Rattus norvegicus: one gene and its partners. The protein of the gene in region 3 binds, or shares a complex with, the protein of the main gene of each other region. Links are inferred from orthologs where the notes say so. Each region holds a gene or a part of one and is shown on either strand. Other genes may lie near its edges.

Region 1 (9,867 bases), on a different chromosome or scaffold from region 3:
TTGCAAACAGTGGGGAGTTTTATACTTCACATCCATGACAGTTACACGTTATAGGTGTATTTTAATTTTGTCTAATACAAAGATCCATATGGGGACTGAAGAGATGGTTCAGTAGTTAAGAGCACGGACTGCTCTTCCAGAGGTCCTGAGTTCAATTCCCAGTAACCACATGATGGCTCTCAATCATCTGTAATGGGATCTGATGCCCTCTTCTAGTGTGTGAAGACAGCTAGAGTGTACTCATATTCATAAAGTAAATAAATTAGTTTAAAAAAAAAGAGAGAGAGAGCGAGCACTGTCTGGCCTTGCAGAGGACCTGGGCTGTGCTCCCAGCATCCACAGAGTGGTTCACAACAGTCTGTAACTCAACTTCCACAGGGTCCTATGTCCTTTTTTGGCCTCCTTGGGCACTACATGCACATGCTACATCTTCAGACACACAGGCAAAAACTCACGGATTAACTATAAATAAACAGATGATGACTGAATGAACAATTAATAAATAGACATCCATGAATTTACCTGGCAACTCCTCCATAGTCAAGGCCTTCTTCTCCTCGAAATTTTATCATTAATCGCTTCCATAGATCCTTTGGTCTCATTTTCATGACTTGTCGATATGATTCCTGAAAAATAATTTTAATATATTACCATCATTAGGGGCTTCAGCCTTTAATTTAAAAGTTTTTGGGTTGGGGATTTAGCTCAGTGGTAGAGCGCTTGCCTAGTAAGCGCAAGGCCCTGGGTTCGGTCCCCAGCTCCAAAAAAAAGAAAAAAGAAAAAAAAAAAAAAAAGAGTTTTCTTTTCCTCTAATTCGTAAAACTAATTTCTGTCAGAGGCACTAGTAGAAACTAAAGTAAAATAAGCACACTTCTAAAAGAACATACATGAAAGATTAACCACACAGGCAATTGTATACTGGGGACAGGGTCAAGATTGACCCTAACAAAGCCCAGATTGGCCTTGAACTTCCTATGTAGATAATGTTGGCCTCTGGATGGCCTAGAAATTGCTATATAGACTAGGTTGACCCTGATCTTGTAGAGATCTGCCTATTTCTAACTCTAACTCCCAAGAGCTGTGATTGCATAGTTAGGTGTGGTGTCACATGCCTTTATCTTTTTTTTTTTTTTTCAAATGGGCTTGCTTCACTTTTTCTTATATAAAAATCCGTTTATGGTATCCAAAGCTGGATCCTGACTCTTCTGTACAGAGACCCTAGAACGAATATCCTAAGATAATCAGGTAGTTCCCGACTTGGTGAGCACGTCTGTTTCTCCAGGTCTGGGGTAGCTGTAGATCTTGGAGATGGCATCAAAAGCAGCCCTGGGTGGCCACAGTCAATCCTGGCCATCAACAACAGCATCTTGGATGATACCAGTGACTCTGGGCCAATGGTCTGTTACCATGCTTGGGACAGTATGGGGTTTGATTATCTCAGTCCTTTGGTAGCCTGTGTGTACCAAGACAATGGAGAGTTTATCTAAGATGATGGGTGCTTGAATGCTGGTGGCTATCTTAGCCCTGTACCTAGCACTAACATCGATGTGACTACTGCAGTCTCCAATGGCCAACGAATGCCTTGAACTGTCCACCTGCCAGTGTAAGACTATTTCTAAAACTGCCTCAATCTCATCTTCACAACCTTAATTATGACCAACACCCCAAGAAGCTATTTTTGGAAGCTGATGGTCAGGGAGAAGGAATCTCTGGCTAGGGACCTGATTTTTTTTTTAAAGAAATATTTATTTTATGTACTATGAGCACACTGTTGCTGTCTTCAGACACACCAGAAAAGGACATCGGATCCCATTGCAGATGGCGTGAGCCACCATGTGGTTCCTGGGAATTAAATTTAGGAGCTCTGGAAGAGCAGTCATACTCGTAACCACCTCTCCAGCTCCCCACACTGCCCAGCCCCTTATTAAAGATTTATTTTTATTTTACTCAGGTGCATGTGTTGGTGTCCACTGAGGCCATTGTGCTCCTGGGATCTTGAGTTATAGTTGGTTGTGGGGTTTCTCCAGCCCCCAATCTTTATGTTCTTGACCACAAAGCCCAGCGTGGTGACAGGATCTACTTCTTATCTCAAGCCTTACTTTCCTCCACAAGCTCCAAGACTGCAGTCTTGGCCATGACCATGATCACGGCCTGAGTGCACCTGCAGCCTCTGAGGAAGAATCCTCTGCCTCCCAAGACCGGGAACCAGGGCCCTCTGTACCCTTCCTTCCAGTGCACAAGCATCACTACTATTATTTAGTGTTTCAGGTGAGAAGATGCTCTTTCTACCATTTTGAAATACAAATGACACTGTAACCAAGGACAAAAAACTCATCAGGATGCAGATCTCTGTGAGTTACAGCCAGCCTAGTGTAAAGAGTGAGTTTCAGGACAGCCAGGGCTACACAGGAAAACCTTGTCTCTGAAACACGTGGATGCACACACATGTGCACATGGGTGTGGGGGGAGAGCAAAGAGAGAGAGAGAGAGAGAGAGAGAGAGAGAGAGAGAGAGAGAGAATATATGAGAATACTTTTACTCCAATCAGATATGAGTTCCAAAAGTGTATTCTTAGAAAGAGTAAAACAGGCTGGAGAGATGGCTCAGCGGTTAAGAACACTGACTGTAGGGTTGGGGATTTAGCTCAGTGGTAGAGCGCTTGCATAGCAAGCCCAAGGCCCTAGGTTCGGTCCCCAGCTCTGAAAAAAAAAAAGAAAAAAAAGAAAAAAACAAAAAAAACCACTGACTGCTCTTCCAGAGGGCCTGAGTTCGATTCCAGCAACCACGTGGTGGCTCACAGCCATCTGTAATGAGATCTGATACCCTCTTCTGTATATACAGAACAGTCATACATTTAAAAAAATACATAAATAAAATAATTTTAAAAAATGAGTAAAACAAAAAAAAATGAGTAAAACAGTCATGATAGTGCATGCCTTTAATCCCAGTCTTTAAGGAGGGAGTCAGAGGCAGATGTTTGAGAACAGCCTGGTCAATATAGACAATTCCAGGCTAGCCAGAGCTACACAGTGAGACTGTCTCAAAACGGAGGGGAAAAAAACAGAGCAAATCACTGAATTTAATTTTCTTTTAATTGGAATTAAGGCTTATATATTTACCTCAAAAATCTCTTCCCTTGACACCTCAATGCGGCAGTGGCCAGCTTGAGGCTGCTGTTGGGAAAGTTCTTGCCGCAAGATCTTTAGTTTTTGAACCAAGTCTCGCTTGTACCTTGGCACTGTCAGACACTCAGTGTCATCGGGACACAACGACACCACTTGCTGTTGCTGTTGGTCTTTCAACTGGTTCTGACGACTAGAAATAAACAGAAATGTTATCAAAGGACCTTAGAAAATAAAAGATTGCAATTACACATTTAAATCAGCATAAGCCTATAAGAGAAATCTATCAATGTCTGAGTCTTATGGGGCAGATTATCAGGCTGACAGAACTGGTTACTGAGGGTAAAAGCCTCACAAACCTTATGCAGATGCTAAGAAGAATTGCCCAGATACCACTTCCTCCCCATCATCCCATCACCTATTTAAAGCTCAGGCAGGTGCCAAGCACCCCACCATCTAGAGTCTCCTTTTCTGGAAAAACCAAACAGAAGCCTAAACTGGCAGCTCATTCCTTCTACACCTGATTCTGTCTAAACCACAAAAATAAACCAATGAAGCAGCCTGTCTCCTCAGCTATTCTAGGGTATATAAGGGGCGGTTATATGAACGATGATATCAGCACTGGTCGGAAAGCAGTGGGGATGCCAATCTGCTGCCTGCAAGGCCTCTGACAACAAGCAGAGTCCTTATCAAGCAAATTATTTTCTTGAAATAAGTAAGCCTGACAAACAGAAAAGATTCAAGTTGTAATCTTTGTTCATTGTTACTTTTTTTTTTAAAGATTTATTCATTTATTATATATGAGTACACTGTAGCTGTCTTCAGACACACCAGAAGAGGGCATCAGATCTCATTACAGATGGTTGTGAGCCACCATGTGGTTGCTGGGAATTGAACTCAGGACCTCTGGAAGAGCAGTCGGGTGCTCTTAACCGCTAAGCCATCTCTCCAGCCCTCATTTTTACTTTTAAAAGTTTCCTTTAATTATAAGGTAGAATTTCTATCATTGCTTTAAAAACAATAGGCATAGTATTAAAGGGTGAAAACAGGAAGAGGAAGGGGGAGAAGACCCCACAGTCAGGCTGAGTTCACAGCACATTTTATGTTCCTCTGGGAAAGCCATGAAACTGTCCACAGCTCCATTTTCCTTACTGATAGAGGGCTAAATGTATAAAGTATGCTTTTCAAGCAAGATTCCTTTTTTTTTTTAAGATTTATTTATTTTATTTATATATGTAGCTGACTTCAGGCACATCAGAAGACGGCGTCAGTAACAATTACAGATGGTTGTGAGCTACCATGTGGGTGCTGGGAATTGGAACTCAGGATCTCTGGAAGAGCAGTAGTCAGTGCTCCTAACCACTGAGCCATCTCTTCAAGATTCTTTTTCAAAAAGGGGCTTTGGGCAAAGGATGTGTGTCCTTGGCTGGGTGATTTACTGAGTCCTAATAACGATATTCTGCAATAGTTCAACAATGCTTGTACCCTAACATTTAGACATTATATGGTGAGACCTCAAACACAGAACAGTTTAACTGTATAACATCAAAAACAGCCCTCTACAGTACGTAACCATGGTATCTCAAAGGGACCAGGAAGGACAGAACTGGGGGAGATTCAGGTACCCACAATGCAACTGCAGGGTGCCCTTAATGTGCACACAAACCTACTACAGACTTTTAACAGGCAGCTTCTCCCACTGCTTCTCTCAAAAAGGAATTCCCAACTCCTTTAGTTTCGATTGAAGACTGGCTCTAAGCTGGCACAGATAGTTGCCCTCTATATGATCTGATTAGTAATCTACATTTCCGGGGTTGGGGATTTAGCTCAGTGGTAGAGCGTTTGCCTAGCAAGCGCAAGGCCCTGGGTTCGGTCCCCAGCTCCGGAAAAAAAAAAAAAAGTAATCTACATTTCCCCTCACTTCCTAAAATGCTGAAACAGGGAAAAAAAACCCTTAGAATCACAGCAATCTACAAATGTTTGTTAAGGTTATGTATAATCCATGTATAACAGCTCCCTAAAAGTTAGACTAATAGTTAAACCAACTCCAATAATTTATTATTTGGACAATAGCCTAAGAATTTACTCCAAGAACATTTTTTGCCATAGACAGACACTCACCTACCCTTCTTCCTCCCTCTCTGCATGAGCTTAAAACAATTATACAAAGGAATAAAAACTACTTTGTAAGATAGGCAGGGTACCCCATATTAGAAGCCAGGCCATCCTCTGCTACAGAGTGAAGGCCACAGTGGGCTCTCCTCTAAGACCCTGTCTGTTAGTGCTATCAAATAAGGTGACAATGATTCAAGTTAGGCTTGGTAGTGTTGAGTACCTAAGATATAGGATCCCAAGTTCAAGGACTGTTAAGGCCACAGAGTGAGTTCAGGACCAGCCTAGGCAACTCAGTGATACCCTATCTCAAAATAACATACACAAGAATAAACTTACCACATAAATAGTTAGAAAAAGAATTAGCCTGCTCAGTCTCAACTTCTGGTCAAGCTATGGCCTCTGTAAACAGCCTTCTTGCCTGAGCACTTCTCAGGTATACCTCTTCCTGACACTTCAGTACTACTTCCTGTTTAAGCAGAGTGAAAGTAAGATATGTACTACTTCAGAGAAAAATATCTCATTTCCTTCCCTATACTCTGATCAGTAAAAGTAAATCATAGCTCAGTACAGTGGTTCCTGTCTACAGTCTGAACACTGAGCAGCAGAAGCAGGAAGGTCTGCGAGGCCACAGCAGTAATTCAAGGCCAACCTGGATTATCTCTAGAGAACTCATATAAATCTAAGTCAATATTGTAAATTTAAGAAAGTGCATATTCTTTCACATTTATTGTAAAAAGCACATACATGTCCTCTTGCTTAAGACAGTATTTTCAAATGTACTGCCTTGAAACTTACTTTAAAACTAAATGCAAGTTAGCAGAGAGACGAGGATCTGTAAACTGTGTTGTTCTGTTGTTATGGTCCACGAAATAAACTCTGCCTGTCGCGGTATTGCGGATCTCCCACCCAGGAGGCAGAGGACCGAGCTCTTCACAATTGATGTTGCTAAGATCCCTGCAAAACAAATACACAGCAGAAAGACCTCATTGCTGGGCTTGCTGGGCCGAGCAAGCGTCTGTGACACAGAGCAGGTCCACAAAGTCTGAGACAATGCATTGTTTCAGAAACCTGAGATGCTCCGCTGGAATCTTTAATTCCCAATGGTTTCACAACTTGCACATTCAACACCCAATCCCTAAATGGCTCAGAACGTATCACATAGTCTGGCATTTAGTAAGGTCCCAGGCTTTAATGTAATACACATTTTAAATTAATACGGGCAGTCACACTACCTGCCAACATAAACTACACATCAGTATTTGTTTGACAGAAAGTATTGTTTTACAAGCATCGATAATGGAAGAAATTTCTATTCAATGTTTTCTGTCTTACTGTACCATAAAGCCAGTGCAGACAAATGTGCATGCAATGAGTGACTGTGTGTTCTCCAACAAAGCAAAACTGGGACAGTACTAAAATCATGATCCTGGAAATAATCGTAACATTTTTAAAATTGAAATAACTATGTTGTTTTAAATTTTGAAGTCTATAAATTTCATGAAGAAAACCCTGGGGTAAAGATACCTAAGAAGGGGTTGGGGATTCAGCTCAGTGGTAGAGTGCTTGCCTAGCAAGCGCAAGGCCCTGGGTTCGGTCCCCAGCTCCGGAAAAAAAAAAAAAAAAAAAAAAAAAACCTAAGAAGACTGCTTCAAGGCTTATTGCAGCAACAAAGGAGAGCTCGAGTACTTTTAACAGACAAGGACCATTGCTACTGTTTCACACACCGGAAGGATGCACAGGACCATACAGAACACAGCTGAACACACTGAAGTGGCTGGGGGGTGGGGTGCCCAGAGCATAGAAGATCTTAGCTCTCCTCAACCTTGTCCTATGTGTACTGCTTCCTCCGGTTGTTTAAAAACCAGCAACAGCACCGTAAATTTCTACCCTCTGTCCTGCTAGATCAACAGCTTCCTCAGAGAGAGACCAGCCCAGAGTGATCCAGTTGTTGGAGGCTGCAGGTGAAGACGTATGGTATCCACTGAGACCACTTCCAGCTCGGGAAGAGTTCTTCAAATAGTGATTCTGATTTCTGCCCTAAGTGATCCTGGACACTTGTCTGCTGCAGAACAACTAAGGCTTGAAAACACTACAGAAGAGGCAAAGCAAAGCTCCGAGAACCCTCAATTCCCAATGAAGAACTGACTCCATGCTGGAGCGAGCTCAAGTGCGAGACTTGAGAGGCAGCTGGGAAGGTGGAGGTCAGCACCAAGATTGGGAAAGAAGTCCTGGAACTTCTCAAGCAGAGAGGTCAAAAGCGTGAAGCAATTCTACAACTTCCCAGAGAATGCCAACTAATAAAGATGAAGTAACACATCAGGCAGGCATGGTGGCATCTAACAGTAATCCCAGCAACCAGAGGCTGAGGAAATAGGAAGAGTGCACGTTCAAGCCCAGCCTGCGATGTAGACCAAAATTATATCATCTAAAACACACACATGCGCGCGCGCGCGCGCGCACACACACACACACACACACACACACACACACACACACACACACACGCACACACACACCTTTAAACCCAGCACAAGCAGGTGAATTTCTGTGTATTCTATGTCAGTCAGAGCTCCATAAAGAACCTACCTCAAAATCAAAAAAACAATACAACACAATACACCAAATTCAAGAAGGAACCTCACACACTGTAAGGTCAATGAAGACTTTAGGAGGGACCACATTGTGACAGCTAGTATAAACATTAAGCTACAGAATGAGAGCTCCAACTAAAAGAGACCATAAAGAAAATATAGGGCGTGATGTTTAAACAAGGGCTGGAGAAAGAGATGACTTAGTGGTTGAGGACACTGGGGGTTTGATCCCCAGCACCTACATGGGGTAGCTCACAACCCCCTGTAATGCCAGTTCTACGGGATCCAATGCCCTCTTCTGGCCTCCATGGATACCAGACACGCACATGGGACACATATACATGCAGGAAAAAAATGAATAAAAAATTAAAAACTATGTGACATAAAAATTATGTAGAACAATAGGAGATACAAGCTAAATAATAAATGCTTGTTTTGGCTATACAAGCCCAGGGTTTGAACTCTAGCATTGCAGATTTAAAAGAAACATAAGAAAATAATAAAAATAACGAATGAGGCATACAATTGCAAAGATGAGTCATTGAGGAAAGATTATTTGAAAGGAACAGGTGGCTTTTTTTTTAGATCAAACTTTTACAAAAAATAAAGGACAAATAATTCTACTATTGATATAATGTGGAATTTGCTTTTGTATAATTTTATTAGAATGTATAAATCTACAGTGACAACTAAAAGTACCAATTAAAAGAGTAAAACACCAGAAATGATTTTTATGCTCAAATGGAGATTAAAAAAAATGAAAAGTTAGACAGTTTCATAAAAACAATACAAGTCTGCATTTGAAGGCTTCAGTTGTATGCAACATGACAGGAATTAAGGAAAGAAGCCAACCACCGCCACACAGAACTAAGACATTAGCTGCTGGAGTACTGTGGGCGTCTTTAAGCAGAGCTAAGTTGGATGTACTCCACACACAAGCTCTTTTGCTCATTTTTTTTATGGTTTAGTTTTTGACATAGGGTTTCTCTGTGTAGTCCTGGCTGTCCAGAAACTCACTCTGTAGACCAGGCTGCCCTTAAACTTAGAGATCCACCATAGACAAGCTTTTTAAAGAAACCCACTGTACTTCTTGACTGGTGCCTTTAACGAGATGCAGCAGACTTATCTAGGCTTTTTTAATGCCTGATTTAAGCATATAAAAAGCATATAACCTCCCATAAAAGAGATACATTTGCTAAATGATACCACAAACTGAAAGACAAAACACAACTTTTAAAGATAACTGGGCCATATAGACAAAGAAAAATAATACAGGACATTGTTAACTTAAAGAAAGTCTAACTCAAATATAGATGTCATTTCTCCACTTAAAACTTGTGCTGTTCCCAGCTCCAAAAAAAAAAAAAAAAACTTGTGCTGTTATTTGAGGCAGACTCTCATTATGTATGTTAGGCTGGCCTAAAGCTTGTGATCGTCTGACTTCTGTTTCCTGAGTGCTAGAACTATGTATGTACATCATGACTCCACTGGGCCTTCAACACAAAACATGCTTTGCTTTGTTTTTTCTGTTTGAGATGGGGTCTCATTATAAAGCCCTGGCTGGCCTGAACCTTGCAATGTAGCTATGTGGACCAGGCAAGCCTTAAACTTACTGACATCTGGGTCTGCAATTAAAGGCATACTCTATCATGCTTGACTTTTGTTTACATTTTATAATTTATTGGGGGAGAGCTCACAATTTAACAAAGCCTTGAGTCCTAAACTTTAGGTCGTTAGGTTTCTTTCAGTGAACTTAATAAAAATAAATATAAAACTCTCCCTTCACTACTGTTTTCTAAAAATTATTTTATTGAGGGGGGAAAGAGAACACTACCATTGTGGAGACACAGAAATGGCAAAGTTGGTAGAATAACTAATGACAGCACATTTTCTGGGTTGTCACTCTCAAAAGCTTCTAGTTCTAAACTCTGTAACACAGTAAAATGTCTTCATTATATAACTATTTTATTTATAAGACACAGTATCAAAGCAACCCCGGTGCAGTCAGTCGGGCCCCATCTGCTGCTGATTCAACTACA
Region 2 (9,867 bases), on a different chromosome or scaffold from region 3:
TGTGTAGATTTAAGTAATGTAATAAAATGTGTGGTGGCAAGAGACACTGGGCCGATGAGGAGTGGGGATGTGTTTCCGCCAAGATATCTAGCAGATATCTTGGGGCACCACGGTGCGTACCAAGCAGGGTAAAAGACTTACTTTTTTATTTTTATATTTTTACAACAACACAGCTAGGCCATTAGCAGCTGTGCACAGGACATAGGGGCACAGGGCAAATCCCTTGCTGTCCTGACTGGTTTTCTGTTACTTGATAGAAGCTAGAGTTATTTAGGAAAACAGAGGTCTTAACTGAGAAAATGCCTCCATCGGATTGGCCTGTAGACAAGTCTGTGGGACACTTTATTGATCAGTTATTAATTTGGGATGGCCCAGCCCACTGGACAGGTGGTCCCAGGTGGTCCCAGAAAGCAGGGCGGGCTTGGACTTTCTGTCCTTAGTCCCAGCCCTCAGGGGACAGAGACAGATGGATCTCTGAGCTCAAGGCCAGGCTGGTTTATAGAGTGAGTTCCAACCAGTCAGGGCTTTAGACTTGCCTCAGAAACGCAGGCAGGCAGGCTGGGCAAACATGAGTTACACTCCTCCATGGCCCCTGCTTCCGCTCCTGCCTCCAGGTTCCTGCCTCGACGAACTCCTACCTTGACTCCCCTCAGTGACCCACTATAACTTACAAGTCTAAGAAACCTTATTCTCCTCAAACTACTTTTGTCATGGTGTTTATTGTCATAGCCACAGGGAGCAAACTTCACACTCACCGTAGCCTTCAGGCAGCTCCGGTGACTGGTGGCCATGTGGTCGATTCTGCGGTGTCTGTAGGGATCCTCGAACCTCAGGATTTCGGAGTCGCTGTACCAGGAGTCTCTGATCTTGGCTTGGAGACTCCACAAACCTGCAGTTCCCACCTCCTGCCGCTGCACCGGTGCCATCTGTATACGGGGCAGGTTCCTCCATGAGGCAGCTGAGCGGCCTTCCAGGGCCTGAGTCTTCATATACCGTTCTGGAAGGGGTAGGGTAGGGCAGAGCAGGCGTGGAAACATTATGGAGTGTCACAAGACTCACATACTCAAAGGCCACAGGAAATTGTTCTACATCCCTTCGGTTGTGGTTTGCCCTGGAGTTATCTGTATTTTGATGCTAATTCCACTGCCCCTAGGACAGCTGCCTAGTAGTCATGTACTCAGAACTCAGGTGACTTCACCAGAACCTTCTCCCCATTGAATTTGTAAAGTACAGGCGAGGGGCAGGTACAGGATAGAAGGAGGCCTGTCATTGGAGGAGAAGGAAGGATGGGTGGGAGAGAAGTTTGAAGGAAGAGGAGGAGACTCGGACTAGAGGAAAGACAGGAGACGGAAAGAGGGGAGAAGCCATGGCAGGTGATGTTAAGATTCTGCTCTGTGTATTTACAGGTTGTTATTAATGTTCCTAAGGGATGGATGGTACCGGGCTTTGTATGTTTAAGTGGGCAATTATATCTTACCAATTGGATCTAAGATTATTGTGTTATGTGTTCTTTTATGTGAGGGTTTGAGTGTAGGAAAGTGTGCAGCTGGGATGTGTTTCCACCCAGATATCTAGCAGATATTTTGGGCACCGAGGTGCAGGACCTAGTGAGGTAAAAGACAATGTTACTTTTTATTTTTATATTTTACAACAACACCCTTTAACAAGTGACAGTGATCCCAACGCAAAGGTTCACAATATTGAGAGGGTCCAACAAGAGAGAAAGACCCCAGAGAGGAACGGGTCAGAGCCAACCATGACTTGGCCCTCTAGCAGGACCATGGGGTGGGGTTGGCAGGGGGCGGGAAGATGGGGTGTGTGTGCAGCTATCTATGGGGGAGGTGGAGCAGAAGGTGTTCCTGACACTCTATTTTCTGATATTTCACTCCAAGATGAAACTCTTGGTTCCATAAAATACTGACTCTTTGGTGTGTTTTAAACATTCCCCACTTCAAAAACAATCTGCAGCTTCAAAAACAATCTGCCTTACTGAGTCACTTCCCCTTCCGATCAGATACCTTTTAAACCTCATATTGAAAAATTTCAGTGAAGGACCAGAGCAATGGGCCTCCCTCATCCCGGAAGCAGCAGCCAGTCACAGCGGGGGTCCCCAGGCTGACTTCCAGCCTCCCCACCAAGGGGCAGTGTCAGTCAAACCCTGCTTTACTTACTATTCCACCTGTGCATACTTGAGCGTGGGCCCCTTGGTTGCTTCTTGGGCTTCTCAGGTTTTTTTTTTTTTTTTTTTTTTTTTGTTTTTTTGTTTTTTTGTTTTTTTTTTTTTTCGGAGCTGGGGACCGAACCCAGGGCCTTGCGCTTCCTAGGTAAGCGCTCTACCACTGAGCTAAATCCCCAGCCCCAGTTTTTTAGAACTCAGGATTCTCCTGCCTGTCTCCTTAGTGTTGACATTACAGGCATACACCCTCGTGCCCAGCTAAACCGGCACCTCTAATTGGTAGACGCTTCCCTCTGTTGGTTCCTGAGTCCCTGGGGTACAGTCCTTCATAAACTTGGATGGCAGCTTGGAGCCCAGATTTATCCCATACAGTTTGATGCTTCTGCCCTACAGGGAAAGAGGACATGGCTGGCACCACGGCAGGCAGGCAGGCAGGCATACGTACCCTTCGTTCTCCAGCAGTCCCCTGCAGTCCACCACCGACCCTCCACCACCTATTCTGTCTCGGGTCTGTAAACTGACTGCAACACAAGAGAAAAGCCTGCGTTAACACCCAGGGCTGCTCGAGACCCCTGCAGCACAGTGAGCCGCTGACACACGGCAACACGTGTCCAGCGTCATAAACAGGAAGTGAGTTTACACCTCCCCCACGGTCTCAGTGGAAAGCACCTCAGGCCAACAGCCGCACACACCACATAACCATTTGAACACTCCTTGAAAGCAGAGAGCAGAAGAGGTACCGAGTCTCTCAGGCCCCATCCCCATATAACACTAAAGAACACAATATTTCACCTCATTAATATTCCATCTTCAGAAGGTTTGGTTTATGCTTAGTGAGGGTGCAAAGGAACACCTTCAATCTAAAAACCATTTATGCTCCAGTCTCACTGATGCAGACAAGAAAGACGTTTTACTCCTAGGTTTCTGGTTGTTTGGTTTCTGGCCCTACATATCCCTCCACAAAGGAAAGAAGAACTCCAAGTGGACGCAGTGCAGGAACCGTTATCCTTGGGCTGCTGCTGGGCAGATGCCCTGCTCACTGTCTCAGGACCAGAGGCATCTGGAGTGGGGAATGACTCAGCCTGACTGCCGCTGCACTGAGTCCGTGCCGTACACACAGAGCCAGCCAGCATGTGCTTTCCCCTAACACCAGGCCAACAACAGGGTGGGCAAGGGGACAGTGACTCAGAGGTCACTCCATCGGATGCCTGCAGGCAATTCGGCAAGCACACTTTAACATTTCTCTCCACAGAATGGAGTCCCCTGACTAAGTCACATTACACGGAATGTGTCACACACTTTGCTTTTGCCACAGAACAGGGCTTCCCAGAAAAGCCATTCACTCCAGCTCCTGCCCATGTGGTCTCAGCTCTTTGTCACCCCTGACAAGACAAGGGCCGATTGTCCGTCCTGTGCTGAGCAGCTTAACACTTATAGACCACAACCTCCCATCTCAACTGGAGTCACAGTAACTCAGTTTCAATGACAAGATGAAGGGAACCACAGGAAAGAATGAAAACCACACGAGAGGAAAGGCTTAGTACTGGAGAGATGGCCCGATGTGGTCTGCCCGGGAAGCCTATCCCCTGTCGGCACTGGGAGCAGGACGGTGGGTTCCATCTAAGTCCCTTTATGCAGATGAGAAAATTCTTACCCACTATTTGGCCACGAACTGCATCAGTATCTGAGGGATTTAGTTTGCATAGATCCAAACGCTGGTCTGCAAACAAACAATTCAAAACTTAACCCAAAGAATGTCAACTAAGGAGGGAAGGCAGAATTCTGTATTCGGCATTCAAATAAAAGTAAGGAAAGGGTGCCTCCTGTGCTTGCTGTGGATGCACTGAGAAGCAGAAGAGCATTTGTTTCTTACAGCCGGTATCTTTCAATCTGCTGATGGCATTGGAGAGCAGCCGCACGCAGCCCAGGAAGCCAGCCCCCTGCTTCTTGTGGATCTTCTTGTGGTTCCACACACTGATGGTTATCGAGTCGGTTTTCCCAACGTACCTGTGAGAGCACGCAAACTCGTTCAGGTGCAATTCTGAACCATGACACCCTCAGCTAACTGCATCTGGTTACTCAGAACCCTGGCAGTGGGGGGGGAAGGGCTGGCTGTATCTTTCTAGGCATGGGAAAAGGACTCCAACCAAATACTCAAGCAGTGAGTGCAGGCAGCCATGTTGTAATAAGCATTTTTAAATTTGTTTTTTTCCTTTATTCATTTATTTACTAGACCAGAGATCAAACCAAGAGTCTCACAGGGGCCAAAGCAAGTCCTCTACCACTGAGCCACACCCTTGACCCCTCACTGGCAAGAGTTCTACCTAAAGTGAAGAACAATCGGCAGGTGTTCTATACCTAAGCCATATGACCAATGCCCAATCCCATCCCACACCCCTTAAAAAGACAAAAACACACAAGAAAACCCCAAAACAAACAAAAACCCTTTTTTATTCTGAGATGGAGTTTAAGTTGCCCAGGCTGGTGCTATGAAGCAATTTTCTTGAAATTGAAATATTCTATACCAGAAGGAGACTTATTGAGACTCGGGAAATTCTAAAGGAATCTCTTTTTTTTTTTTTTTTTTTTTTTGGTTCTTTTTTTCGGAGCTGGGGACCGAACCCAGGGCCTTGCGCTTCCTAGGCAAGCGCTCTACCACTGAGCTAAATCCCCAACCCCTAAAGGAATCTCATTAAAACACAGGAAGTAAGCAACTCACAAGTCTCAGGAAGTCCTGAAACTTACCAGATTCACAAGGTCCCTCCCTTCCACCCCTCCCAGAGATAAAAGGTAGGGACTGCTGAGGAGAGAAGACTTTCTAAGCTGCTGAGCTGCCTGCAAGTCCTATAGAGAACAATAGAGTCCAGCTTCCAGAGGACATTGCTGGTGCTGGGGTAGGCTTTCAGAACTGCAGCTGCTCCTCTAAGTCACCCCTCACCTGTCCTGTAAGTAACCCTGTGTGCCCATCAAATCAACAAGTGGACTACAGTGGGATCATTACCTCGGTCTGTATCTGTTTATATCTCCTCTATTACATAAGAGCCAGATTGAATTGGCTCTGTAAACGAGGCAGGCCTTTGACTTGCAATATTCCTGCCTCAGCCTCCCAAAGTGCCAGCACTCCAGGCCTATACCACCAGGCCCAGCATGTGATAAGGTCTTGTTTTTTTTGTTTTTTTTTTTTTCTTTTTTTCAGAGCTGGGGACCAAACTCAGGGCCTTGCACTTGCTAGGCAAGCGCTCTACCACTGAGCTATGTCCCCAACCCCCGTGATAAGGTCTTGTAAAGAGGTTGACTATGCTCACACTTTGGAAGGCAGTGACCAAGACTTAACAGCGTACACTGAGGCTGCTTACAATTTCACTGTCCATCCAAAATGTACAAAGGTTCATGGACCAAAATAATAACCCTACTCAATCCTAGGGCATGTTCGCCGCAGAGAGAACTATCAGGACAAACGGTAACCACATTCCAAGCCATGTGACGAAAATTACAAAAACGCAAGTGCTACTAAAATGACTCTCACGCCTGTCCACACAGTGCAGTTCACGTTAATAGTCATCGTGCAGGGACATGCATCCAACATAGAAGCATGGCCCTAAATTTGGAATGAATATACAAAAATGCATGATGGGTTGTTTTTGGTTGTAAACATGGTTTCACTAAAAAAAAAAAAAGGGCCAAATCATGAAAACCCATGAGAACTAACGCCAAGATAGCAGAGGATATTGACTGGGAACTTGGCAACATGTATTCGCTTTGGCAAGTCTTTGGTTATTAGTAAAGTCAGCCATCTTTTTTCTTCCTCTAAGTGTCTCCTCCAAGGCTGACAGCCACTTTTTCACAGCCACAGGGCCTCACAGGGGTCTGACTCACAGGTCATAGTGCTGGTTCCACTTTGGGTCCAGGGTGTTTTTCACAGTGTCGGTTGAGTGGCACTGCCCAGAGCCGTCCACAACAATCTTGGCAAAGGGGTCGGGGAGTCCTGGGGAGAGAGCAGACATACCGGATACAGTGACAGTCTACTTAGTAGCATAGTGGCATCCTACAGCAGAAGAGTGGCAAGATCCCCCCTTGGGATAAGGCTTACACATGCCACGCCTCACCGTCTCTCCATTAGCAAAGAGAGTTCTGAGCCGCATACCACGCCTTCCTACTTGGATAAGCAGAAAAACATGGAGAAGGGCTCCGCCATCTCTGGTGGGCTTTACATTTTAAAAGCTGCTTTTGTTTATGGGTATGTGTCTGTGTCTGTGTGTATGCACACGTGTGTAGGTACTGCCAAGGCTTCTAAGTGTCAGGTTTCTTGGAGCCAGACCTGCAAACAGTAGCAAACACTGAACACATACACCAAGAGATCTGTCTGTTCAGCCAGCCCATCTCCGATCATCACTAAGGGGACTGAAAGTAGAAACAAGGTCTATCAAGTAAATTCCTCAATAGTCACAGTCCCTGGAAATGTCACTGCTCTTCTGCCTGTGCTATCTGTGGCATCACGGTACCAGTCCCCAAGTCACATGTGAATGTGACAGGTTTGATGCCAGACAAGCAGCAAGGTGGGAGGCTTTGGAGAGAGACCAGGCTGCGAGCCACCGCTTTGGAGTTTCCCAGCTACTTGGCTAAAGCCGTTGGGCCTAAGTCTCTTTATTCTGCAAGCCTCCTGGGATGGGGCAGTGGCAGTTTTCAGGAATGTCGGCACTGACCTCATGGCGGGTGAGGCACTCGAAGGGGCCCGGGCACAGCCCTCAGCACTTTACAGTTCCTCCCACTACAGACGTTTCAAAGTGGATTTATTTTGCAAAACTGGATTGGCAATTTTGGCCAAGCCACTTACATCATAAATGCCTCATTTGTGTTTGAGCTGAGAGCAGCGACGGGATCAGGAAGCAGGGGGTGTGGGCATGGCTGCAATGGGGACGAGACTTACGCTGTGGGCAGCTGGGGGTGATGGTCGAGCGCTGGACTCCTAGACTCTTAGAAGACCACACCAGCTGTTTTGTTTTGTTTTGAATTAAATGTCAGAGGCCAACAGGATCTAAATCCAATCTCTGGTAGCAATATGGTGGAAGGGGAGAGCTCCCTGGAAGTTGTCCTCTGACCTCCACACCCATGCATGCTATGGGATACGCATGCACGCACTCACACACGCACACGTTAATTTCCAGATGTACATAAACTGTATTATACAAAGTGAAGCTGGGTGTACTTACTGAAGAAGTCTTTCTTTGCAAGGTTCTTGGCACACAATACTGAAAACAAGCAAACACGGGAGTGAGCATTGATACAGCGAACAGCCCCTACTTAGTGTTTGTAACAGGAGGGGAAAACATCACAGAAGCTAACGTGCCAGCAATCTCTCAAACTGTGTCACATAAGACAAATGTCCCTAGCAACTGTCTTAAAAGTATCTTCCCTCAAATTGGGGAATCAACAAACTCAAACACTGTAATTTAAGCTTAAAACATTAAATGCACGAACACAGAGATGGAATTACTGGTATGCTTTAAAACTACATAAACACCAATTTTTAAAAAGAGCTGCTGCATTTACCTTTACAAAGCTGCTAGCAACAAAGAGAGCTATGCTCTGTGGGTATTCTGATAAATAACACTGGGGGTGGGGTGGGGATTGATTCTCCAAGTATAAACCTTGGTACACGGGGGACGAGAAATCAGGAAAGACAGTGGGAAAGGCAGAGCTTTTAGCAGAGTGTGGGGAAAAGTTAAAAAGCTGCATATTCAGAAGGCTGTACAGGAACCGGGCAGTGCGGTGCACACATTTAATCCCAGCGCTCTGGAGGCAGAGGCAGGTGGATCTCTGAGTTTAAGGCCAGCCTGGTCTACAGAGTGAGCTCCAGGACAGCCAGGGCTACACAGAGAAACTCTGTCTTGAAAAACAAAACAAAACAAAATAAAACAAAACAAAACAACAACAACAACAACAAGGCACTCAGAAGGGGAGGAGGTGGCTGTAAAGGACTGGCAAGAAAGCTAAGCAGGTAAAGGGGCTTCCCACCAAGCCTGATAACCTGAGTTCAATCCCCAGGACCCACAGATAGAGAGAACGGACTCCTGAAAATGGTTGTGTAAGCTCCCTGCACTGTCTGCCACATAAACAATAACTTTAAAGAAGGTAAAAATAAACAGTACGGGCAGACAGCAAGAATGTAACTGATACAGTATCCCCACCACTGCCGCTACCGTCACCACTGCCACTGCCACCAGCACCAATCATGGGATGAGTGAGGGACTCACGCCTGTACTCACAGCCATCATGAAATGAGGCAGGACCATGAGTTCAAGGACAGCCTGGGCTAGTGAATGAGTCCCATGCCAGCCTGAGCGCCATGGCCAGGCCCTGCCTCAGATAGGCAGGCAGGCAGGCAGGCAGGCAGGCAGGCAGGCAGGCAGACAGACAGACGGGTGGATGACAGGTGAAGAGATGATATATCTTGTCACTCATCTGCCTGCTCGTGGTAGGAGGGAGCACAGGGGAGACAGTGCGCGTCCTGTTGGGCTGTCTCAGCCGTTCTGCTGGTTTTCACGAATGCAGTGTTCTATGCTCACGCTACATTGAGCACGTTCCCACGTTGCTAAGAAAAATCCGTAGGGACAGCACAACAACGGTACACCTCCCCACTTAAACAGCGCATGACTGAAGTTCCTTGTGCATTCGTGGGGCTAGCATCACCACCATCAATTTTCACGTTTCTATGGCCCTCAAAGAAACGTGTTCCCATTAGCAGTCCTCCATCCCCTCAAACTCTCTACCCAGAGGCAACCCCAGTCTGTCCCGTGGCTCTGATATCGTGCCCGGTTCCAAACATTTCTGATGACTGGAAGCACAGGCTGTGTGGTGGCTGAAGGCTGAGACTGCGTTAACTGTGCAAGCATGAAAGGCCTGGGTTTGATCCCAGCACTACATAGCCCAGGAGCTGATGTACACACCCATAATTTGAGAGGCGGAGGCAGGGGGTCAGGAGTTGAAGGACATCCTCAGCTATACAGTAAGCTCACGGCCAGCTTGGGCACATGAGATCTTGTCAATAAACCTGCTCCGGTGGTTTCCCCCTGCAAACACTGAACCCAGCACACCCTGACCTCTATCTCCACATCACTCGCCAAGGCTGAGCCCCAGCTTTCCGAGGCACTGGAATCCAAATACTTCTTAATGGAGTAATTCTGATCTCATCTGTTAAAAATAAGAGTCACCATTCATATTTACAAAGCTACTGATGTTTTCATCTAGGCTCACTCCTGTGGGACTTGGTTACATCATTAAATGGAGATGGTCTCGGCGATGTTGTGTGAAGAAAGCCTGGCTCGGTTTGTTTACAGGTCACTGAGGGTCACTGCAGTCTAAAGAGACACGATCTCTTCTGCTAAAATAATGTTTGCCAATTTGCAATCTCCGTCCACTCTTGATCTGCCTGCTTCCACAGGAGATACAAGCTAACGGAATCTCATTCTTCCTACAGTGCAAAATACCGCTGCACAGACAGCAGCCACCTTTACCACAGGGCAACCATGTTGCTCCAGCCTGCCTGGAACTCTCTATGGAGACGAGACTGGCCTCCAACTCAGAGATTCTCCTGCTCCGTCACCTACCCCAGGCTGGGATCGAATGGTTTCACCACCACACTTGGCTCTACCCCTTGTTTTTAAACAAACCCACTTCCGTCCTGATTACAC
Region 3 (10,614 bases):
TCATTAAAGGGACTTGGAAAAGTTAAGAGACGTAAATTAAGAGGGCCAGATGGCAGATCAAGATGCCAGCCGTTCTGGTAGGCTCTGAGGCTTGTACCACAAGAGGTCATCCCTTGCAGTCAGTCCCTTTCAGAGGCAGAGACAGAACTTAGAAGGTAAAGGGCCCATCCAGGCTCTCCCTCCTGTATCTCTACAGGTGAGATGTGGGGAAAGAAGCAGCAAATCCTTTGTCCTCAAGGGACGGGAAAGTGGGAGAACCTTCATGCCTTGCAAAGGCCACAAGTCACAGCCACCCCTGTGCCAAGGTACAGGCAAGACTCCTTGCACACAACTGTCTTGGGAAATAGAGAACCAGGTGTAGACCTAGTCCAGGTCCTTCAAGGAGGCTAGACCCATCACAGCTTTTCAAGTTCAGCCTCCAAAGGATCCCTCAGTTCCAACTACACCAGGCCCCAGAACCTTTCCCTTTGCCTCCTCTGAAGCAAGAGACCTCACGAAAGGGATTCCCTCGGTTTGACTGGCTCATTAAGGTTTTAACAGTTGTCCATTGTAAAACCCTATTTTCTGTTTCACCTACGTAACCCAACACCAAACTCCTCAACCTCAAGCTGGGAAAGAATTCTAAATCCCCAGGTCAACACTTTCCCATACACTAGGTGGGGAGAAAATTGAGGGACTTGAGGGAACCCCCCCCCCCCCGAATCTCTAGCTACAACGCTCCTGGGTCACCACAACCAGCAAATCGGCCATAGACCAGTCTCTTAGGACAGTCCCTGAGACCAGCTCTGCTATCCAGACCACTGCTCTCTCAACAGGGGCTTTTCCACTACTTTGCCCCGTGTTTCTACACAGTGGTGCCTGAGTTTGGGTCCTTTTTCTTGTTTTGTTTGAAGCAAAACATTTGGGGGGTGAGTAACCAGCTGGTTGGGTTTCGGATTGGCAGGTTAATCACCTCCTATTGGCTGATCTGGGGAAGGTTGCTCCCCTCCTTGGAAATGGCACACATTCCTGTCTTTGTGGCTTCTCTGTTTACACACATTTTGCTACCTAATGTCAACACTTGCTAATGAATAAATATATCACTCCACTCCCCGAAAATGAGGTCCCGGCCTGCCAGGATGGCTGCTTAAATCTTGTGAACAGATTTTACCCAGTATCTTTTTTGGCAAACCCGAGAACACATGGTCCTTCTTTGCTATGGAGTTTGGACTTTAAGGGAACCTCTACCAGAGCTGTCTTCACCTCTGGGGCTACGGGGCCTTCCCTTTCTGTTTAAGGTTAACAGGCCACATTTGAAAGACGGATGAGGAAACCACAAAGCCAAAAGAACTGAGGGTGGACCCCCGGAGAAGTGACCTCTGGGAACAATTCTGGATCCTTTAAGCCACAAACTCAAGACAAGTTATAGCCCTTGGAGTTTGCTAATGCCAACTAAAGCTTGTTGCAAATGCAGAGAGCTGGGTTTATCTCGTCATTAATGACCATTTATCTGGTGTTTTGTAAATCGAAAGCAAAATATCACATACTCCACAGGCCACCTATTAGGCAGGCACCAGGCAAGCAGCAACGCCTTCCCAACTTGAGGGAACTGGCGAAGCATGTGGAGGGAGGGCTAGCCCGGACTTTGCTTACACATTCATTAAGCACTTAATTTATGACAAAGTCCCTGAAAAATTGGGAGGGGAGAGGGGGGGTTGCAACAGCCAAAACTCATGAGGCAAAAGGTTCCAAGAGCTAAAGGGTGCCCAGCCCTTCACTTTTCCCTCTCCTTGGCAAAGCAAAGACTTCACGAGTGTTGCGTTTTTTGTAAGCGCCACAGAACAGACACACAAAAAAAGCAAAGCTAAAAAACCCGGACTTGCAGCAAACGGTTCTGTAATCCTTGCACTGTTAAGAAGGAAGCAGGACTTGTCCCTGAGGCCATCCCCAATCTGTTTTGCTGACCCTGTCCCCTGGCACGGTCGGCTCTAAGGGATGGGACCTAGCACTGCCAGCCAGAAGTTGAATGCAGACAACCACAACAGGGCTGGTGCCAGTCTCAAATGGGCTTCTGCCCTGGCCCTCTGCCATCAGGCCAGAAAGCAACAGGCAGAGCTGTGCTGAAAACTTTTATGGTCTCTCTCTCTCTCTCTCTCTCTCTCTCTCTCTCTCTCTCTCTACTAAGAATTCTGAGAAAACCCCCAGGAGAAAGCAGGCTTGTGGGTGACTGAACAGGGGGAAGGAACATAATCCCCCTCCCAACTTGTTGCACTTCTTAACCTAGTGTGATACTCCAAACGGAAGCCTCTCTTCAAAATCGCTCCTCATCCATTTAACCATCCCTACCCACAGATCCTTCTGGCACTTACAAGGCTTCAGAACGTTTCCATCAACCTGTCCTATTTGGCTCCCAAGACATGCAGTGGATTAAAAGCCTCCATGTGTGAAAGATGAACAAACTTCCACCACACAGTTCAAACACATAAAAAAAGGAACAAATCCTAAAACATATCTGGGGGGGAAGCTATGTTGGGGGGGGTGTCCAATCACAAGAGGAAAATCCACCAAACTTAAAACAGAGGAAAATTGCCTTGAGCAACCCAAGCACCACCCCAAGACCCCAACCCACACGCAAAAACAGGGTTCTGAGAAAAGAAAGACTTGAAACCCATCTACTCACCAGTTGGTTTGAGAAAATCCATCGGGTATCTGGAGTAAGGAGGAGGGGGAGACTCTGAAATTAAAAAAGTAAGAGGATATAAAGGCTGAGCCATGAGAAACAAGAGATAGAAACTTATGATAACTCAGGCATTCTTTTAGGCCAACTGTTTGTCTTAGCTGTGGGGGTTGGAGGCAGGGCCGCGAGGCGGTGATTGCCTTGATATTTAGCTGTCAGATAAACAAAAGAGGCCGCCTGGCGCCAGCCTCGGCGCTCTGCTCCTCCACGTCTGCGGCTGCCGCCGCCGCCGCGCTCGGCGGGCCGAGCTGGAAACCACCGGCTGGGCCAGGGCTCCAGCGGCTGGGCCGCGCAATGAACAGTCCATAGGGTGGGGGGCGTCTGGGGCTGCTTAGTGTCTTTTACAACTACAGATCCCGCTTCTCCGGCCCTCCCCGCCACTAGGAGCACAATTCACCTCCGCCCCCACTGCTGAGCTTGGCACCCACGCACTAGGGAATCCTACCCAGCCAGCCCACCTGAGAGGGAAAAAAAAAACACCCAAGTGAGCTGCTGGTGAACTTGGAAGATTTGCAGGGATCAGGGCATGATCCTCTACCCTGAGCACAAAGACAAGGAGCAAACAGAAGGCATGGAAAACCTAACAGGATAATATGGGGAGGAACCTGTTCAGGGTCCCGGCCATGAAGCCCAGGCCAATTATGGTGCAGGGAGGGACGTCACTGAAACGCAGGGGTGGGAGTGTCGGGCGTTCTAAGGACCACTAATTGTACGCTTTTCTGTGCGAAATAAAGATAAAAAAGTAGAGGCCACCCAACTTCTCCAGGCTGTTTGCTCCTTCTCGCCCCGAAGTGTGCACAGCTGAGACTGGATACCCAGTTCAGTCTCCATCCTACCACTGCCCCCAAACTCCAAAGCTGGGAGGCCAGGACAGTATCTGGGCCACTCGTGCCCCACGTGACTGTCCTTATTTACTAAAGGAGAGACTCTCCAGCCTTTAAAGCTAGTTTCTCCCAGCCTTCCTTGGCGGGCTTGGGCCGAATCCAACTCGGCCACACACCTCAACGCCTTTCCGGGTGCGGGGGAAGCGTGATCCCCCACTTTGCTCTGTATCCCCTTGCATACCCGGAAATAAGAGTGTCTCGTTTTCTGCAGCATGTCAGTTCAGTATAAGGCTAAGCAGCAGTATCCCTGGGTCTCTTCCTCTGGAGGGAGGGGGGATGGTGCAAGAGCAAAATCTTGAAAGGGAACCCCAAGGAATGTCAGAGTTTCCCCCCCCTCGTTCCTTCTTTGATTTAGTTCCCTTGTCTCCTCCAGGAGATAATGCACACACCCTCGAGCATTTCTACCAGCATTTCCTCGCCAGAGGGAACGAAAGGTGGACTCAGAACAACTTCTTACCTAGTTCACAGAGTCGACTAAGGTGATGGGGGTTGCAGCACACCAGCTCGGGGTTGATCTTCCCGTAAGATTCACAGCAACACAGCCTCTTGACTTCCGAGGAATGCCTGAGATCCGGCCACCTGAACACTTTGCACAGCAGGAGGGGGAGCGAGTAGGACGAGGGCGGCTGCGCGGGCTGCGCGCTGGCGGGCGCCCCCGGGCCCAGCCTGCAGTCCAGGCGGCCGGGCAGCAGGAGGCACGCGGTGCGCGTACCGCCGCGGGACTCCACGGCCTGAAGCAGCAGCTCCAGCTGCCGCTCCTTGAGTTTCTTGAGCACCGAGTGCGTGAGCGCCTTCAGATCCGCCTCGGCGCCCCCGGCCGCCCCGGCACCCGAGGATGGGGGATGGGGATGGTGGTGACCTTTGGCACCTCGGACTGCCTTACCCAGGCAGCAGCCAGCCCTGCCCGCACCGCCGCCACCAGCCCCATAAGCCCGGCCGTCCGTCGCCCCTTCTCCCCGCAGGTCGCCTCCGCCGCCGCCACCCCCCACGCCCTCCTCCTCGTCCTCGCCGCCGGGCGCACGGCTCCTCCAGAGACGCCGGACGAGCGCAGATCGTTTGGTCCTGAACATGCGGGGCGAGGAGGCGAGGAGAAAAGTCGTTTGCCGGCTAAGGAGCGAACATGACCTCCGCACACCATGAAGAAGTCGGGCGCCGAGTTGGGGCAGCAGGCGCAGGCGACAGCAACAACAGCAGGGGCCCGGGCAGAAGCGGCGGCGGCCCGAGGGGCGCTCCGTGGCATGCGCCAGTCTCCCGGAGGCCGGGGCGCGCGCGGGGGCCCAGGGGCGCCCGCCGGGGATCGGGGGCCTGCGCTTCGGCTGCCCCACCCGGCGCGGCCCGCGCCCTGCGCGGCTCTCGGGCCCCGGCGTGCCCCTGAGGAACGCGGCCGCCGCTTCCCTGGGGGCGGCCGAGGCAGCCCCGGTCGACGCCTCTCCCCAAAAAGGCCCCCCTACAGTGGCTCCCGAGTGTCGGGCTCGCCAGCCTCGGCTTCCTACATGGAAGATCCTCAGGGGCAAAAAACGAAAGACGTTAGGCTGAGCTACTGAAGGGAGGAAAAAGCCTCTTTCCCCCTTGCTAAGCAACTTAATTTGGGGGTGGGGAGAAGCAGGCAATTAAAAAAAAAAAAGGCAGGCACACGATTTATTTTTTTCTTCTATATCCTTAGTAACCGGATCTCCTCGAATTCTGTGCACGCGAAGACTTGAGGGAGGGGGCCGAGTAGACTTCACCCCTCGTGAGATGTCTGGAGGGTCTCTCAAAAACCCCAAAACCAAATATGCAAAGCCCCCAGTGAAAAAACACACCACCTTCTCGCACCTCGGAGGTCTGGAGGGCACCGGATGGAGCCGGGGTTTAAAAAGAGAAAATGTTTACAAAGTAGAACAAGATGTTGGAAGGGTGGGGGGAAAAACCGTATCCACGAGTTACATCCCCTTTTTTTCCTTGCTGAACCCCGCCGGTCTTCCTTTCCTTTTCTTCTGTCAAAAAAAAAAATCGTATTTCTTTTAATCCACAGAAAGGTCTGGTTAGGCTGCTTCAATCTTGCGTATCTGGGTGTTTTAGAGTCTCTGGTCTTTCCTCCTGCGCTCCCGGGGGCCCAGGTCCTCGGCGGGGACTTCCTCCGCGCTGGGGAAGCAGGGACAGAAGATGCTGCGGCGGCGGCTGCGCCCCGGGGGGCTGTCAGCGCGGGGGAGGGCGGCGCGGCGGCGGGCTCCGGCGGGTCGCAAGCTCTCGCCCCCGAGGGCACAGGCGGCAGGCTAGCTAGCGTGGGGGCTGCCGGTGCCCCTTCTCCTGGCCGAGGGTGGTCGCTGGGGCTGCTCGCATAAGCTGCTGGCCCCGACCCGACAGTGGCGGCAGGAGGCCCGGGTGTCCTCTCGCAGCCTCTTCCTCCGAGACTCTCTTCGTCGCGCCCGGGAGCCTCCTCGTCCCCCGTCCGCCCTCTCCTGGCGCTCGAGTCCTTCTGCCGCCGCTGGGGGCTCGCCGCGCCGCACTCAGGGACTCCGGGGCCGAGCGCTCGGCGGCGTGGCGCCGGCTGGCTGGCTGCGTCTCAGGCAGCTCTCCGGCGCGGCGAGCGGACCGAGCGAGGCGCCCGGCTGGCTCTGCTGGCGCTGCTCGGGGACAAGATCCTCTGTGCGCCGAGCAGCGAGCGAATGTGCCCAGGGCTCGCCGCCTCCCGCAAGGCCTCCCGCCTCCGCCCCCTTCCCTCCCCCCTCTACCCCTCCCTCCCCCGCCCCCAGCCGCCGCCGCCTCCTTCCCGCCCCCCCACCCGTCCCTCCGCTCGGCTGGTTCCACTGCGCAGTGGCGCGCCCGGCTCCGGCCTCGTCACGTGGCCGTCTAGACACCCTGTCGCTTTAAAAAAAAAAAAGCGATTGTGTTTCGCAAACAACAGATCGGGTTTCTAAAAGCTATTTCAACCCCCCTCCCAGTTACCGCCACCCTCTCCCAGGTCTACAGAGGGGTACCCACGGGCGGAGGGAGGTGGGAGGCCGAGACGGCCCCGGGGGTCGGCGGAGACCCAGGGGGAGCAGGGGGAAATCGGAAGAGCTGGGGGCGTGGAGCGGGCGAGTTTGGAGCGGAATGAGCCGGTCAGTGGCCCGATTTAGACCAGTGGAGCTCGCCGGGGCGCTTCATTCATTCGTTTTGTTTTAAGGCCCTGGCGGCGGATCCCTTGGAAAGGGGAGGAGATCGCTGTCTGTTTCAAAGACATTTACACCGGCCAGGACAGAGGCCCTGGGAAGTGTGCGCTAGAGGGAACAGCCGGGCGGCCGAGGGCGGAGAGGCGGCGCGAATGTGACCTCAGCGGCCGCCGCGCTCCCTCCCGCCCTCTCCCGCTCCGGGCTCGGGTTTCTAGGACTGCCTGGAGAAGTGTGTCTTGTGCACAGCTCTGGAATGCATTTGGCAGGCTGACGAGCAGCGAGGGGCAGCATCCTGGAGGGAGGAGGGGTGCAGCTCGCCTGCGCGCCGCCGTCAGGTTTCCTCCGGGCTTGGAAGACCTCCGGCACCCGCCACTCGGCCTCCTGGCGCGCGAACGTTACCCAGTGAGCAGACCTGCTTAGAGCATTCAATCGCATGCGGGGCCTACTTGGGGTCAGAGAGTTTTTCCCTTGACCTCAGGTTCCAGAGAAAGCTATCCCCAGATGCAGGTGACTGCTTGGAACTAGAAAAGGTATTTGTCAAGCGAAAGTCCTGTGGGTGCTGGTCTGAGGATAGTACTAGGGTGTTAAATGTGACTGAGACAACTAGTTGGCATGGTGACCCAGACTCACATATTTATTGGGTTTTTTTGAAAAGTCTCTTGAGGGGCTGGGGATTTAGCTCAGTGGTAGAGCGCTTACCTAGGAAGCGCAAGGCCCTGGGTTCGGTCCCCAGCTCCGAAAAAAAGAACCAAAAAGAAAAAAGAAAAAAGAAAAGTCTCTTGAAATTGTAACAGGATAGTAATAAAACTCATGGGGGTGGGGTAAAGATTTTTTACCAAATGTGGACTGTAATTATTTCTTCCAACCGGAATTATATGTTCTGACCAGTAACTTCTGTTTCTAACCTGATAGATACTTTCAAGGGCTGGAAGTATAATTCATTAGAGGTCCTGGGTTGAGTTACTAGCAACTCAAACAAGGTAGGAGTCAAGGTAGGAGTTAGGTCTGCAGACCATTCCCCTACCGCACTATATGATAAAAAAAAAAAAGAAAAAAAAGAAAACCACAAGTTTGTCACATGATCCTCTCCCGGCGTGGGAGCCCTAAGTTGTGGAAGGAAGACAATATCGTCATCAACAAGACTGGACAGATAGTGGCACGTAGGCAGTTACTGGGTAGCATAGTAATTTTGCTAAAAATTAAAATGCCGCTTATTGGAATTGGGTGTGAGCACTCTAAAGCAAACTGGGGAGAAGACAGCACTCAAGACCAAAGAAGGAGGGGAAGAGGGATGACCCCACCATTACAGACAGGGGATGAATGACCTAAGAGACAGAAATGCAGTCTAGGAAATGTGTCATCTGGGCTGGAGAGATGGCTCAGCGGTTAAGAGCCACCAGGTCCTGAGTTCAACTCCCAGCAACCACATGGAGGCTCACAACCGTCTGGAATGGGATCTGATGCCCTCTTCTGGTGTGTCTGAGGGCAGCTACAGGGTACTCATATAAATAAACCTTTAAAAATAAATAAAATGTGTCGTCTTAGAATGGGAAGGGGCTGGAAAGGTGGGTCTTGAATTTTCAGGGGACCTGAGTTTGCCTCCTAACATCCACTTCAGGTACCTCATAACTGCATGTAACTTCAGCCCCAGGAGAATCTGACATCCTCTTCTGGTCTCCTCGGCACTGCATCGGCACTGTATTCTCACACACACACACACACACACACACACACACACACACACACACACACAGTAATCTTAGAAAGACATAGGGAACCTTAAATGGGACGTGGGGGGGGGGGCTCTTCGGCTCACTGGGTAGACAGCTTGTACTAGCAATGGTCCTTAGGTGAGTTGCAGCCTTGAAAGACTTTCTAAGGCTTCCTAGAGAAGGGTCATGTTCTTGCAGGGCCCCATTTCTCTCAGTAGACAAGAGAGGCTAAACCAGGCTACAGGTGACAGGAAGAATTAAATAAACAGAAAGCAAAGGTCATCCTCCTAATTACACTTTGTGGCCGCACGGACAATCTGGAGAAGTCTGGAAATGTGAGTGGTGCCAATGCCCTCAGTAATGACAGGCCTGGGTACCCACGAGGCAAGTAGGTGTAATGGGGATTTCAGGAGCTTGCATCTGATGTCACAGCTTGTCTGGATGGAGCGTTCATCTATTTGCAGAACTATGTTCCCATCTAGTGTAATTGTGGGTGTTTTAATTCAGGCGTCACCTTTATTTTGCCCTCTCCACACGGCTTCCTTATACCATTTTACTACTTGAGGGAGTAGTGGGTGGGATGCTGGGCAAGTGGCTGCAATGGTTGGTGCTTTATGGTTTCCCTGGCATCCCCTGAATCTGTTAACATCCCAACCTTCTTGACAGCCAGCCCCACCCCATCACATTCTTACTCCTTCCCTTTCCAAGAAAGAAGCCAGAAGCCCGAAGAAGCCAGCAGTAGAACTCTGGCCGGCTAGTATACCTAGAAAGGGAGGGCTCTTCTTTCCGCCTCACGGTCGCAATGGGGACCCGTAGGCACCCATTTCGGACTATTGCGTCCCTTCGCAGAGAAAGTTAGGAGTCCGGGCTATTGTGAATGAAGTTGATTCTGATCGTCTTCTGGCAGAGAATGTGGAATAAAATATCTCATTTGCAGTTGTTTGTTTCCTGTTGGGGCCTTCTATTTTCATCTTTCAGTCACTTTGGTGATAGTAATCAAACCCTAATCATGGTGCAGCCACAAAGTCACAGGGACCAAAATAGCAGACGTATGACAGACAAGGACGGAGACAGCTAAGGACCTGGTTATTAATCACCAGTCCCTTCGCTCACAGCCCATTGGCTTAGGTGTCTGGAGAAGAGCGGAAGCCGAGAGATATCGGCCTGTGCCTGAGGCCTCTGAGCAGCCAAGGAAGGGCCCCTAGGTCCCAGAGCAGCAAAGTGAGCAGGAAGTAACCTCAAAAAAAAGTAAGTTCACTGCACGTGTCAAGCAAGGCGGCTCACAGAAGGGCCTGATTTGAGCCAAATCAAGGCCAAGAGAGTCTCCCCAAAACTCTTGACAGCTCAAAAAGACCACAAGCAAAAGCAGAAACCCCCCTACCTAGGAGGACAGGATTCTGCCAATTGGTTCCTTTCTCGTTTTTTTGGGTTTTTTTTTTTTTTTTAGAAGTTCCAAGAAGCTCACAGTGCCTCTGGGGGTGGGGTCAGGGTGAGGCAGGGACAGTTTTTCTTGCAAAAGCCAAAAGGAGAAACAATTGGAAAATATCAACATTTCTTGCACAATCGCCACCCCCCCCCCAAGAATGTGTGAGTGAGCCCTAAACCATCCTCGACTGGCAGCCGTACAAACGGAAGTGAGGTTACGAAAGTAAAGACGGGCGTGAGTAAGACTGGCGGGGCACTGAGCACTTCTCGCCTTATCTCAGGAAGAACCCCGAACTAAGTGAATGAAAAACGCATCTGATTCACATCAAATAAAGACGCCATAAGTCCTGACTCATCAAATATCGGCGTGTGACAGGCACGCCGTCAGCTGATCCACAGTGTCTGCCAGGTATCTGTCCAGAGCACTCACGTTAGGTACTGGGTGTGGGGTGAGGACACGGGAAATGGGTGCTTGTTGTCTCAATGAAGACAGAAACCTCCAGAAAAAGTGGCGTGAGACTAGGCATTGTAAATACATAATCAAACAAGGGCCCTGGGTAGCTGATGGGCAGAGACGGGAGGGAATCCAGGCACTTAACTGTTTGGGCTTCTTGGATACTAAAGTGAGTGAACGTTATTACTTGTTCACAAATGCGGAGCCGTGAATCGTTTTAATCCTTGCCTGCATTCCTCATTTTCTGAAAATCAGTGCTAAAGTCCTGAGACGAAGGACGAGTTGGCCA

The links.
Region 1: the proteins of Smad7 (region 3) and Smurf2 are in contact, whole or in part, in an NMR structure (PDB 2LTZ), measured with the Homo sapiens proteins. The link is inferred for Rattus norvegicus from reciprocal best matches to the Homo sapiens genes SMAD7 and SMURF2. Residues at the interface, in NP_005895.1 of Homo sapiens: Glu203, Leu204, Glu205, Ser206, Pro207, Pro208, Pro209, Tyr211, Ser212, Arg213, Tyr214, Pro215, Met216, Asp217; in NP_073576.1 of Homo sapiens: Glu304, Arg306, Asn307, Thr308, Ala309, Thr310, Arg312, Tyr314, Val316, Asp317, His318, Arg321, Thr322, Thr323, Gln324, Phe325, Thr326.
Region 2: the proteins of Smad7 (region 3) and Smurf1 are in contact, whole or in part, in an NMR structure (PDB 2LTX), measured with the Homo sapiens proteins. The link is inferred for Rattus norvegicus from reciprocal best matches to the Homo sapiens genes SMAD7 and SMURF1. Residues at the interface, in NP_005895.1 of Homo sapiens: Glu203, Glu205, Ser206, Pro207, Pro208, Pro209, Pro210, Tyr211, Ser212, Arg213, Tyr214, Pro215, Asp217; in NP_065162.1 of Homo sapiens: Glu313, Arg315, Ser316, Thr317, Arg321, Tyr323, Val325, Asp326, His327, Arg330, Thr331, Thr332, Phe334, Thr335.

Annotation. Positions count from the first base shown.
Region 1 is NC_086028.1:92,282,418-92,292,284, forward strand, and holds part of Smurf2 (E3 ubiquitin-protein ligase SMURF2), read right to left. Parts: intron 6,192-9,867; coding exon 6,033-6,191; intron 5,011-6,032; exon of another isoform or gene 4,930-5,010; intron 3,316-4,929; coding exon 3,120-3,315; intron 627-3,119; coding exon 523-626; intron 1-522. UniProt on the Homo sapiens protein: E3 ubiquitin-protein ligase which accepts ubiquitin from an E2 ubiquitin-conjugating enzyme in the form of a thioester and then directly transfers the ubiquitin to targeted substrates.
Region 2 is NC_086030.1:14,811,843-14,821,709, reverse strand, and holds part of Smurf1 (E3 ubiquitin-protein ligase SMURF1), read right to left. Parts: intron 7,426-9,867; coding exon 7,387-7,425; intron 6,162-7,386; coding exon 6,053-6,161; intron 4,184-6,052; coding exon 4,050-4,183; intron 3,897-4,049; coding exon 3,831-3,896; intron 2,698-3,830; coding exon 2,622-2,697; intron 998-2,621; coding exon 756-997; intron 1-755. UniProt on the Homo sapiens protein: E3 ubiquitin-protein ligase that acts as a negative regulator of BMP signaling pathway. Mediates ubiquitination and degradation of SMAD1 and SMAD5, 2 receptor-regulated SMADs specific for the BMP pathway.
Region 3 is NC_086036.1:71,258,986-71,269,599, reverse strand, and holds the start of Smad7 (mothers against decapentaplegic homolog 7), read right to left. Parts: upstream 6,093-10,614; 5' UTR 4,671-6,092; coding exon 4,058-4,670; intron 2,714-4,057; coding exon 2,660-2,713; intron 1-2,659. UniProt on the Homo sapiens protein: Antagonist of signaling by TGF-beta (transforming growth factor) type 1 receptor superfamily members; has been shown to inhibit TGF-beta (Transforming growth factor) and activin signaling by associating with their receptors thus preventing SMAD2 access.